Linked DNA regions of Schizosaccharomyces pombe. The protein of the gene in region 3 interacts with the protein of the main gene of each other region in a biochemical or structural test. Each region holds a gene or a part of one and is shown on either strand. Other genes may lie near its edges.

What was found. The genes of interacting proteins can lie anywhere in the genome.
Region 1: the proteins of dip1 (region 3) and arp2 form a complex in vitro, tested with the Schizosaccharomyces pombe proteins (one study listed by BioGRID).
Region 2: the proteins of dip1 (region 3) and arp3 form a complex in vitro, tested with the Schizosaccharomyces pombe proteins (2 studies listed by BioGRID).

Annotation. Positions count from the first base shown.
Region 1 is NC_003424.3:4,781,224-4,785,280, forward strand, and holds arp2 (ARP2/3 actin-organizing complex actin-related protein subunit Arp2), read left to right. Parts: upstream 1-1,798; 5' UTR 1,799-1,831; coding exon 1,832-1,879; intron 1,880-1,903; exon of another isoform or gene 1,904-1,929; coding exon 1,930-3,054; 3' UTR 3,055-3,542; downstream 3,543-4,057. Other genes in the region: pheromone p-factor receptor Mam2, read left to right, coding at 1-511; protein Fta6, read right to left, coding at 824-972, 1,020-1,050; Golgi 4,6-pyruvylated galactose (PvGal) residue biosynthesis protein Pvg5, read right to left, coding at 3,939-4,057.
Region 2 is NC_003424.3:348,476-352,811, reverse strand, and holds arp3 (ARP2/3 actin-organizing complex actin-related protein subunit Arp3), read right to left. Parts: upstream 2,380-4,336; 5' UTR 2,336-2,379; coding exon 2,301-2,335; exon of another isoform or gene 2,238-2,300; coding exon 2,214-2,237; exon of another isoform or gene 2,142-2,213; coding exon 1,613-2,141; exon of another isoform or gene 1,518-1,612; coding exon 918-1,517; exon of another isoform or gene 853-917; coding exon 757-852; 3' UTR 516-756; downstream 1-515. Other genes in the region: SPOM_SPAC630.04C (uncharacterized protein), read left to right, coding at 1-385; GATOR2-SEACAT complex ubiquitin-protein ligase E3 subunit Sea4, read right to left, coding at 2,900-4,336. UniProt on the Schizosaccharomyces pombe protein: Functions as ATP-binding component of the Arp2/3 complex which is involved in regulation of actin polymerization and together with an activating nucleation-promoting factor (NPF) mediates the formation of branched actin networks.
Region 3 is NC_003423.3:2,340,840-2,344,896, reverse strand, and holds dip1 (endocytosis protein Dip1), read left to right. Parts: upstream 1-1,726; 5' UTR 1,727-1,746; coding exon 1,747-1,801; intron 1,802-1,896; coding exon 1,897-1,986; intron 1,987-2,106; coding exon 2,107-3,086; 3' UTR 3,087-3,495; downstream 3,496-4,057. Other genes in the region: msh2 (DNA mismatch repair protein), read left to right, coding at 1-440; cwf14 (G10 protein), read right to left, coding at 639-667, 712-1,091, 1,162-1,193; coa6 (cytochrome c oxidase subunit VIb related protein), read right to left, coding at 3,809-3,901, 4,048-4,057.

The sequences.
Region 1 (4,057 bases), on a different chromosome or scaffold from region 3:
TACTAACATGTGTCAACAGATTCAGTATCTGTTATGGTTAACTCCACTTAGCAGCAAGACCATTGTTGGATACTCTTGGCCCTACTTTATTGCTAAAATACTTTTTGCTTTTAGCATTATTTTTCACAGTGGTGTTTTTTCATACAAACTCTTTCGTGCCATATTAATACGGAAAAAAATTGGGCAATTTCCATTTGGTCCGATGCAGTGTATTTTAGTTATTAGCTGCCAATGTCTTATTGTTCCAGCTACCTTTACTATAATAGATAGTTTTATCCATACGTATGATGGCTTTAGCTCTATGACTCAATGTCTGCTAATCATTTCTCTTCCTCTTTCGAGTTTATGGGCGTCTAGTACAGCTCTGAAATTGCAAAGCATGAAAACTTCATCTGCGCAAGGAGAAACCACCGAGGTTTCGATTAGAGTTGATAGAACGTTTGATATCAAACATACTCCCAGTGACGATTATTCGATTTCTGATGAATCTGAAACTAAAAAGTGGACGTAACTTACGCCTGAATGTATCTTTTTTGATAATTCCTAATACTGGCTCAATAACAGTCCCAAATAACATAGACGGTTTTTTTACGATAGGCTTGTAATCATAATTTGCTCAGAGGGAAGTTTTCTAATGGTTTTTTTTTTTTCGCTTCATGAACAATTGTTTACTATAAACATCAATGAAATTATATGATTATAATAACTTATTATCATGAAAACTTCAAGTCGTACTTCACAAACACTTATTAAAACAATAGTGAATGAACTGCCTTCGTAATCTATAATGAACTATAATGTTTTGAGTCTCCAAGTGCTTACCTTACGAACTTTTTTTTTTATTTAAAGCTTCTTGTACCGTAGAAGCCATATCATTCATCGAAGAAGCTAATTCCTTTCTAAGCATCGTTTGCTTTTGTACTTTGGCCGATTGCATTAGCAGTTCTTCCAGACGTGATTTAAACGTTTCCACTATATACACGTAAGTATTGAGCTATTAAATAAAAATTATAACCAACCTGCTGACAATAAAATGTATTTATCCTCCATTTATTTTTATCAAATATTGTATCGAAATGTTTTAGCTGCGAAACGTTACACTCCTTAATTTAGTAATAGCAATATAATAAGGATCTTTAAACCGATATGTGTTATTCTCAAATTGCATTGCTCCACTTATTTCAGTAAACAGATGACAAATATTCAATAATGGTATATGTCGATAATTATAATTCTTTTGTTTAAGTCTTGTATTCAATTTAATGCACACATCTAGTTACTAGAGAAATAAATTCTTTATTAAATCGGTTCCGCGATTCTTCATTTTTGCACAGCGCTCCTAGTCATACCAATCTCATAATAAACGATCGAAGTGTTACCTGCACATTAAACAAACAAATAGAGTCCGTGTTTTTCTTTTAAATAATAGTAATACTATGTGAAACGAAGAATCTTTTAACTAATAAGCGATAATATACATTACTGCCGAACAATTATAAATGCACAGTTATGGCTTTGAGTATAAGGGGTAACGATACTAATGCTAAGTACAATAGAAGATAAGATCATTAACCGTAAAAACCTTTGAGCTATTCTTTTTGCAGCCAATTGTTAAATTAATTTAGATACTTCATTTCTGTTTTATAATTCTCAAGATTACTGCACTTCGCTTTCCTACGATATTACATATTTACGATATATCACCGAATGCTCTGCTACAGTTGCAGTGCTGCTGTGTCATACGGTATATGGCAGATAGTTACCGCCGGTACATTACATAGGGGTGGACTTAAGAACTAACCTTTCACCAACTACACGAGACGTTTATAAAATGGAGTCTGCTCCCATTGTTCTAGATAATGGAACTGGTTTTGTGAAGGTAATCAGTTTAATTAAATCTTTGTTTACACTGTGACTAACGTTAGCAAGGTCGGATATGCTAAAGACAATTTTCCGCGCTTTCAATTCCCATCCATCGTAGGAAGGCCCATTTTACGTGCTGAAGAGAAAACAGGAAATGTTCAAATTAAAGATGTTATGGTCGGTGATGAAGCTGAGGCGGTGAGATCTTTACTTCAAGTAAAATATCCCATGGAAAATGGCATTATCCGTGATTTTGAAGAGATGAATCAACTTTGGGATTACACTTTCTTTGAAAAACTAAAAATTGATCCGAGGGGTAGGAAAATTTTGTTGACCGAGCCCCCTATGAATCCTGTTGCTAACCGCGAAAAAATGTGTGAGACAATGTTTGAACGGTATGGTTTTGGTGGTGTTTATGTCGCCATTCAGGCCGTTCTCTCTTTATACGCACAGGGATTAAGCAGTGGTGTAGTTGTTGATTCTGGTGACGGTGTAACCCATATTGTGCCTGTCTATGAAAGTGTTGTTTTAAATCATTTAGTTGGTCGCCTTGACGTTGCCGGTAGGGATGCTACCCGCTATTTGATTAGCTTACTTCTTCGTAAGGGTTATGCTTTCAATCGTACAGCAGACTTTGAAACTGTTCGCGAGATGAAAGAAAAACTTTGTTACGTTAGTTATGATTTGGAATTGGACCATAAGCTTAGCGAAGAAACTACCGTTTTAATGCGTAATTACACCCTTCCTGATGGAAGAGTTATTAAAGTTGGTTCTGAGCGTTATGAATGTCCAGAATGTCTATTTCAACCTCATCTGGTTGGTAGTGAACAACCAGGTTTGAGTGAATTTATTTTTGACACTATCCAAGCAGCTGATGTGGACATTCGCAAGTATTTGTATCGCGCCATTGTTCTCTCAGGTGGTAGCAGTATGTATGCCGGTCTTCCTTCACGTCTTGAAAAGGAAATAAAACAGTTATGGTTTGAGCGTGTTCTTCATGGAGATCCCGCACGTTTGCCTAACTTTAAGGTTAAGATTGAAGACGCTCCTCGTCGCCGTCATGCCGTGTTTATCGGCGGCGCCGTATTGGCAGATATCATGGCTCAAAACGATCACATGTGGGTGTCCAAGGCAGAATGGGAGGAGTATGGAGTACGTGCACTAGACAAATTGGGTCCTAGAACTACTTAGAGTATATTTATGTTTAATGTTCTGTTTCTTTCTTTTTATGTGCTAGTAAATTGAGTTATACGAAGTTTGATTCATAAATTTCAAACTTTGCTAAATGATTACGTTTTCTGTTTAATCCGACCATCGTTAAAAGACGGTACGATTCCTTCTTTTATTTGCCTTTTTGATTCCTTTTTCTTTTGATGGGCTATTTACTTATGCTTGATGTTTATACAACCTTTTTGTAACCAACGATCTTATTTACTCAATATGCACTAGTACACTTCAATAGCAACAGACTTAATGACTAGACTCCCGTGACGTATATATTTGGTTTCGCCCATTTAGGGCGTTTTCTTATTAGGTCCTAGTTTTAACAAAAATAGCTTGACATTCTGAGCTTCTAGTTTTCTGAAGATTGACATCCACGGAAAACATGAGTAACATTTAAAAGCAGGAATTTCTATTATTGTAAATAAATAAATTACCGACCTAATTTTTTTGTTAAATTGTATATATAAACCATTAATAATGTGTCCAAGACAGCCTAGAAAAATTAATGCTCTTAATTAAGCACGACAGCATAAGAGGAGTAGAAATTGCCGCACAAATCGACTGAAATTTCTCATAACGGTGTAAGAGGAATTCATTAGGAAACAAAACGACGGAACATTGAAACAACCTTAAATAAATAAGAACAAATATAAAAGTGTAGTTTACGAAGACAAAATGCCTCGTGAAACCGACAGATGAAAAACAACGTGAAACCGAAAATATGTGAATAAAAAATGAACAACATAGAACAACAGTAATGAAAATGAAAATATAAAAACAAAGAACAAAAGCAAAGAATAAAAAAGGAGAAACGACTGGAGTAAATAAGAGAAGAATCCAGAAGAAGTAATTTAAAGTTGCTTCCATTGTTCAATTATTCGAAGAGCTGTTTGAAGTTCCTCAGCTACAGCAACAACATTTTTCCGCTGGAACGCCTGCATCCACTGTCGTTCATAATAAGCATCTTCCA
Region 2 (4,336 bases), on a different chromosome or scaffold from region 3:
GGTATTAACGTTTGGGATAATCTGCGTTGTGTTTGTCATATTTATGTTGCATCATGAAAGAATTAAAGCGTGTCGAACCATAATTTCTGCACGGGAACAGCAGAGAACACAACACTCAATTCACAGGAGAGAGCGCTCTTCTTCCGGAGCATCACAACAATTCGAACATCATGTTCGACAGACTGATTGCCTCCCTCTTTATGAACCTATTACTGCTCTTAACCAGCAGTACTTGAAAACTTTACCCACCACAAGCACACCTCCCCCGCCCGCAATATTTGATGAAAATGGTGAATTTGTCGGCGACGTTCCATCTGTTGCCGGTGCAATTGAACGCCCACCTTCTTATGAATCATTACCTGCTCCGCAAAATGATGAAGTTTAGTTTTTTTTATGATGACTACTTGATTGCTTCTGCTTTCTCTCAACAAATTCGTTGAGTACTTGTACACTTTCCATTTTATCCATCGTTCTTGAATAATAAAGTATTTATCAGGCGGAACCCATCGGTTTCATCCGTTTTCTTTTTTTTTCTCCTTTTACGTTATTAGTAATCACTATATTATTATTCTCATGGTTCTCATCATTATTATTTGGACAAGTTAATTATATACATCTTATTTGATATTGCTCAATGAAAAAGCCTGGAAACATAGCAAACCTCAAGTCTATTTCTTCTAAGGCTAATGCCTGCTCCATTAAACTTTTCATTTTAATCAGTAAATCCTATAGACGCAAAACTCATGATATATTTCATTAAAGAGAATTTCCAAAAATTTGGTACCTACGAGCAATGGAAGCACCATATTCTTCGTAATCTGCTTTGGTATGGCAATAGGATCCGAATTCAGGCTAAACATGTCAGTAAATCTCTACGGGTAAACTAAAAAATATACAAACATAAGATAATGACATACCGTTTGTGCTAGTAAACTGCCGCCAAACCAAACCGCATTTCGTTGACGTTTATGGGAGATAACATTAACGTCTACACCACCACTTTTAGCACCGGAGAGCATTTCACTGCGGTGAATACGCTCGTCAACAATCCGCTTGAGATCTCTTTGTAAGCGGTTGCCAAAGTTCTTAAACAAAGTACTACCACCAGAAAGGACAATGTTTTTATAAAGGCCTTTACGAACGTCAATGGGTGAGCTCTGTACGACGTTGTCCACAAGTTCCGGAAGAGGGGTCAAAAAATCGGAAGAAGCAATCTCAGGATTAAAAAATATTTCAGGTGCGAGGAAGCGTTCAAATCCTACATCAATAGTAGTAGAGTGTCCAGTAATTGATTCAGATGCATATTTTAAATAACGGTCGGGCTCACGATCAAATCTACTAAACTCCTTAACAATGTCCGGACAAACGTAGCAACATTCCTCTTTAATTCTTTCAGCAGTTTTGAGACTTGAATCAGGTTCATTGCGGTCACGTAATAAGGATTGAACAAAGTACGTAACATCACGACCAGCAAGTGGCATTGTCTTAATGGAAGAGCCGATAACATATCCTTCGGCCTAAGGTTTATCAGTTAGTAAAATTCGGGCATATATATATGCATTTAATGTTCAAAACTGTTTATCTAAGCTCGTATTAGATTTTTTATACATACAACAGGAATAATATGAGTAACGCCATCACCAGAGTCAACAACAGTACCGGTCAACGAACGATCAGTAACTTTTGAAGATGTCCAAGAGGCGGCAAGAGCCAAAACCGCTTGAACAGCAATGTAGAGTCCTGCACAGTTGAACGACTCAAACATAATCTCTGCAGTATTTTCACGGTTTTCAGGTGGATTCAAAGGAGGTTCGGTCAAAAGAAAATAATGGTCCTCTGGTTCACAACGTAAATATTTAAAGAGAGACTGTTGCCAAAAACGCTCCATATGGTCCCAATTTTCTATTTGTCCATGACGGATAGGATAGTCCAAAGAATATCCAGCAGACGCCTTTTTCAATGCATCGTTTCCAATAAAAAAGTCCAAGTCCTCAGTTGCCCTTTTGCTTGAGAGATGCCCACTGCCTTTCGAGGCCATGTAAGAAGGCTTTGATGAAACAGCCGGCCCTGAAGAAGCACCCGCAGAACGCGTCGCAATAACAGTGGGGAATACATAAGAAGGAGCATCGTTCCCAGCATAGCTGAAATTAAATTACTGTTAATAAATGCTCAAAAGAGAGATAATAACATCCTAAAACGACTATTACACATACCCAAGCTTGCTATAGCCGGTACCGCTAACAAATAAAGTTAGTAACTGATATTCACGAACAATTTAACTTCGCTACATCAATACTTACTTGTCCATTATAATGGGAACATTAAACGAAGCCATTGCTATTATTTTATGAAAAGGTAAGCGAAAGAGAAGTTGGTTCCAGTTGAAACTCTTAATATCGTCTCGCAACGGTCACCGATGTCGAATTACGTGGGTTAACGGGAAACATATGGTAATTTACGAGATGAGCCGATTACGTTAAATGCGAATGCCCGTATACAACCCACTTTGGATATCTTTACTAAGGCCAAATTAATTTACACAAAAAATTAAATATGTATTTCTTCAATACCAGTACCACCGGTTAAAATTACCAAGTTGCTAAGCTAGAAGACGCTTCTTGCTACTAGAAAATTAAATATTAACGATCTTGCGTTAATCCCTTTTCAGTAATAAAACTAACCACGTTGGTATTATCAAACAATTACAAATGTAGATAGCTATGTCGAATTTTTAAACAAATCATAGTATTAAAGACCTTATGCTTTAAACCTCTTAGCCTTAAACATTTTTAAGCTGTAATCATGGATTTTATATTCACTCATGTAGCAATTATTACTTGTGAACCAAACCATAAACTGTTATTTTAATGCTATTAATTAATGCTCTCATTTGCAATTTCTATTTCAGTTTGCATTCACAATCACAGTTAGGAACCGGACATATTGTATGAGTTGAAAACCATTCTGAAGCATGAGATGCGTGAGCTCCATGGCCACAATTTAGACAAAAGCTAAACCATAACCCAAATCTAGATTTCTGAAGATTAACTTCTTTGACATAGTTTTGAGGTTTTTGAGAAAAGTCATCTTTCTGAGGAACATCTTCATCTCCTAAAGAAAACCCACATACAGAGCACTTTGGAAGAGGCTGTCCGCAATGAGGACAACTTTTTCCCAAGTGTTTTGCTGGGCCTGCTTTACTGACACCTCGTTGAATTGGCGTTGGTAAATTATTACATTCATTCCTATTGGAGAAAGGAAAAATTGGTTTTCTACAAAAATTGCAGATAATGCGTATAGATGGCTCTGTAGCCTTTCTGGTTATTTCTCCTGTGTGATTTTTTGAGAGTTCTGTCCGAAAGATATCAAACTTTGCACGCTCACGGTAAAGTTTCCAGCGGTTTAGAAGCTCTCTATAACTTTCAGTCCAATCCTCTGCACGTTTATCCAGAAATTTCTTAGGTACCACAAATGCAGCAATCAATGCAGCAGTTTGAACATCGCTTGTATGATCAATGTAGTTCTGCAGAAGTTCCATTCCCAAAGGAGTTAAACCTGTAAGTAACAGGCCTTCTGGGTCGCCTGATTGCACTGTAGTGTGACATAAATCGCACAAATAATTACTCAAATCGTCATCTGGTAAAAAGCGAAGAGCAATTCCAAGACGATCTTTTAATGAGAGAGAAACTTCATCTAATACATCTCTCCAATCGGAGTTGGAAACATACGCAAATATTGCACGTAAGTATGGATCTTCCAATTCTGTACTTAAGTTACGAGACATTTCTTTCCACAATGAGTCACTTCCAAAGTTACTTAAGCCTTGCGATGTAATGTATCCGGCAACTGCTGTGGATATGGTCTTCTCCAGCTCATTCCCACTTGATAATATACGGACTACGTTTTCAATTTTTCCGTGGAAAAGTGCTAACCCAGCGGCTTTTACATGCTCATTCTTGCGAATCAGTCTTCTAATTTCCAACAACAAGTCATCATTTGACATTCCTAATCCACAGGCAAGTAAAGCGAGTTGGCGTAAAGGCCTTTTAGTTTGGATAGACGTAAATATATCTAAATCAAGTCTCTCAATAACATCTCTAGCAAGTCTTAAAATTTTTTTTTCTAAAAATTTGCTTTCTTTTGCTTCAAAAACATCGGACATGCTAGTCAATTCAGTATCCATAAACCAAATACCTAGTGCACCTTGATAGCTGAAATCTGTATCTCCTGTGTCTCCAAACAGTGATTCTTCTGATTGTCTATGGCTTAAGTGAATCCAAGACCATAGATCTTTTAAGTATAAATCAGAAACTAATTCTGAGTTTTTTTGGGAATC
Region 3 (4,057 bases):
ATGAAATGACCAAACTATCAGAAGAAATCACTACTGTCAAAAATTTGCATGTTACAGCCTATGTAGGTGATTCAGAATCGAAGGATGTAGCTTTACTCTATAATGTTTGTGAAGGAGCTAGTGATCGGAGTTTTGGAATCCATGTTGCTAAACTTGCGCACTTCCCTCCCAAGATTATTGAAATGGCAAGCAACAAAGCCGCAGAATTAGAAGCTGAAGACTCTGGAGCCCAAGGGGATACTCAAGAAGTGAAATCTAAAAAAGAAGGTATGGCAATTGTACGTGATATAATGAGACAATGGCGTAGCAACGTCAAACCAGAAATGACTCAGCAACAAATGATGGACCAATTTCAAAAAGTCATCGGCTCATTCGCACAGCAAATCAATTCCAACAACTGGCTACAATCCAGGGTATCCACAAATGAGGTTTCCTCATGAAGAATGTGAGCAAGGTACTAATTGAAAGAATTCAACCAAGGTACATGTTTTTTGGAAGCGCATTTTATGAATAAAATAATTTTTTACTAAAACGAGGAAAAGCCATAGATCAATGAATTTTATAACCCAAAACTGTTTCATTTGCCATAATAACCAAATAAAAAGATATAAATGGGAAACGAACCACTAGTTTTCCAATTAATCACAGCTTGCACAACCATTACAACCTATTTTCATTAGCAACTGGTAGCAATAGCACTTCTTTACTTACCACAATGAGTACATCTCACACGTTGATCTTTATCAAGTTTTGATTTAGGTACACGACATATACACGTTGAACCAAATTTTGACTCAGCGGTTTGAATACAGCGCAGACAACAAAGTTTCTCGTATCCTGGTTTTTTCCATTTGGCGATTAAATTTCCATCGGCATAATTTTGTTTTAGCAGCCAGTTGTAAAGTTCGGTAGATATGGCTTCCCGTTTGTAGTATAAATCGTATATATAACGACTGCGCTGATGATGAAGTTGAAAAATCGGTGCTAGCATTTCCGTCTTAGTTCCCTTTCCCATTGTATTCTCAATTTGACGCATACGATCTTGGAATTCAATAAGGGTGGGTTCTATTTCATCAAATCCGTCAGGAGGGCTATAGCTAATTAGAATCTTACTTCGTAGGTAAAAATAAAGGTAACAAGGAAAATACTTGGTATACATACCGCTTGGTTCTTGACGTTCGAAGACGAGGCATGATAACAGAATATTTTTTAAGCAAACTACGACTTTTCTTCAATAAACCAACACAGAATAAGGAATGCTTGCTTTAAAGAGATTAAATATAAAGAAACCGATAAAATGAAATCTAGTGATGGGTAGTTTTTATCCTTTTACTTATTTGGTGGTAGTGTACTTATGGGCAAGTTGGATTTGTGAGAATCCAGTGTAAATTCCTTGTAAAATAGACTGCCGCGATTGAAACTGTTGCAAGATATTCTTAACTATAGAAACTAAGTTTTTTCTCCGTTAATTAAATTATAGCCTCTTCAATTGAGGATAATTGAGAATTTTTGAATTTGTGTCTCCACTATATTTTATACCTTAACATATGGCCAAAAGGGAACCAGATGCATTTGTATACTATAATACTACAATACTGTTTTCATGGTATAACATTGACGCTCTGTTGTGTTGACTACTAATCATATATTAAAGTTGATTATCGATGGATATTAGCGAGAATTTTGTCTATTGAATACTAGGCTCGATAATGAGAAAGCGGCAATTAAACCTTCCCTAACCTCCACATGGAGTTCACGGATGTGTTTTATAATTTAGAGAATGAAAAGCAATTTTTGGCGGGTATGCAATTTATTCATAATTGTAAACTTGAATGTGCCTGGGATTCATTATCCTGGCTAAATAGTATTCCCGTTGACGCTAACATTTGGTGACAGAAATTGACGAACTTTTAACTATACCATACGAAAAAAATGAACTGGAAATTGGTGTTTCAAAGTTTCTTTCTTTTATCAACAAATATGGAGGTAATGTTTTGGAGAATTGGGGAAGCACAATTTTCCGTGTTTTTCCTATGGATGAAATACAAAGAAATTGAGTGTTTGTCTCTTTATAGAACATCTTATCTAACAAAATAAATTCAATAGAACCGTACCTAATTACAGAATTCCAATTGCAGAGATGTATGGAAAAGTTCCTCAATAGTCCGCTTTATCAACTAGACGAAAACGCCGTTTTAAGTATTTTCTATGATTGCTTTTTTTTCTTGAAAGAACAACAAACTTTGAAATTCATAATCATTGTCTTTCAATCCGAAATTCAAGAGAATGAGTACTGCTTGCGTTTGTTGGCTTCTACGGGGTTCATTCCCGTCTTGATCAAGGCAATGAAACAGTTCAAGGATCGTTCAGAAAATGTTGCTTTTACATCTTTTCGTTATGCTTTATTCTTAGTGTACTATATTTGTCGCTCGAGACGACTTTCACCGACCGACTTAGTCGCAATTGATGAATATTTTTTAGTAAACCTATTCAAAACGTCGGAAGAAGCTTGGAATGATGAGGACATGGACAGTTTTGGAATGTGCGTCTTGACATTGCTTAGCATCAATGAACAGTTTATGCTTGTTCGGCTTGCTTCCAAAGGTTCGTTTGAAATCGCAAATGGCATAATGGATTTGCTGAGCTCTTCCAAAGTGGATAACGGTATCTACAGTGAAGGCCTAGTTTTCACTCTAAATCGAGAAAAGGATCCACGCTCTCGAATGTTAATACTAAAACAACTATTCCTTCTTTTTACAACTCCCGCTACGTATGAGATATTCTATACCAATGATCTCAATGTCCTAATTGATATATTCATACGCGAAATAAACAATATTCCCGATGAGCTTTCGGATCTTCGGTATGCATATTTGCAAGTTTTGATTCCTTTGCTTGAAAATACACAGGTGCGCCATCCACCTCATTACAAAACTAAGTGTATAGTCGACGCGGTCAATAATGTCTTAATTTCTCACTCAAAAAGCAGCAACATGGAAGATGCACGTACTACAGATGTTGCCATACGTGTTTTAGAAGTACCGTGGCTTCAACAAGAGATGAAGTCATTAGGAACCGCTCAATAATTTTTATTCTACTACTGAAAAACTTTTTATTTTTTTAAAGCACCTCACTCGTTTCCTTCATTTATTGTCAGATCAACCAAAAAGAATTGCAAATTTTAACCAATCTCCTTTCCACTCTTTTTTTTAATACTTTCTCTCTCCTTTTGCCAGTCTGTTGTTTTTTGAAAAGCCAGTTTTGGCGTATTACTTCTTGCAGAAAATTGATAAAACTTGGAGAAATTTCTTTGGAATGCAAAGAAAATGCTAAAAGTTTAAACACTGCAATTTTCATATCAATGAATAGAAAATCTCTAGTTAGACATATCCATTGCAAAAGAAGAAGTGAAGAAAATTTTTAAATAACAAACGTGAAGAATGGCATAAACTAATATAGGAATGCTTAATTAATAATACCCCTATCAATCATCTAACATTTTCTGTAACTTTCGGTGATCGTAAATGTGCAAGTTAGACAACGTAATTTAGATTCATCGTCGTCTTTGAAAAAATAGGTGATTATTCGTAAACACAAAACTTTCTTTTGAAAGGGTTCAGTTAAAAATTTCACCATCAAAAATGAAAGAACAGAGTAAACAGAGGAAGGGCAGGAAAAAAAAAATACCGCTTTGTTTGATTTGCCAAAGTTGAAGATGAGTAATAAGTACTTAAGCATAAAAATGAAAACATATTAGGATGGGGGAAACCTAGATGCAATGAGATTGTATGAGAGTATTCAGGAACAGCTAATTCAACTTTTTTGCGCCTTGAGCCTCGAGTTTTTTGATAGCTTCTTGTTGCTGATGCTGTTGAACTCGAAACTTTAGAAAGTAATTGACCTAATCCAGAAAAACAATGTTAGTGAGAAAGAAAAAAAGAAGTAATGGAGATCTTTAAGGTAATAATTCAAGAGAATTGCAAAATCGGAATTTCTCGTTTCATTTCATACCAGCCAGATTTCATTTACAATTTTGGCGATTCATACCCAAGATTTT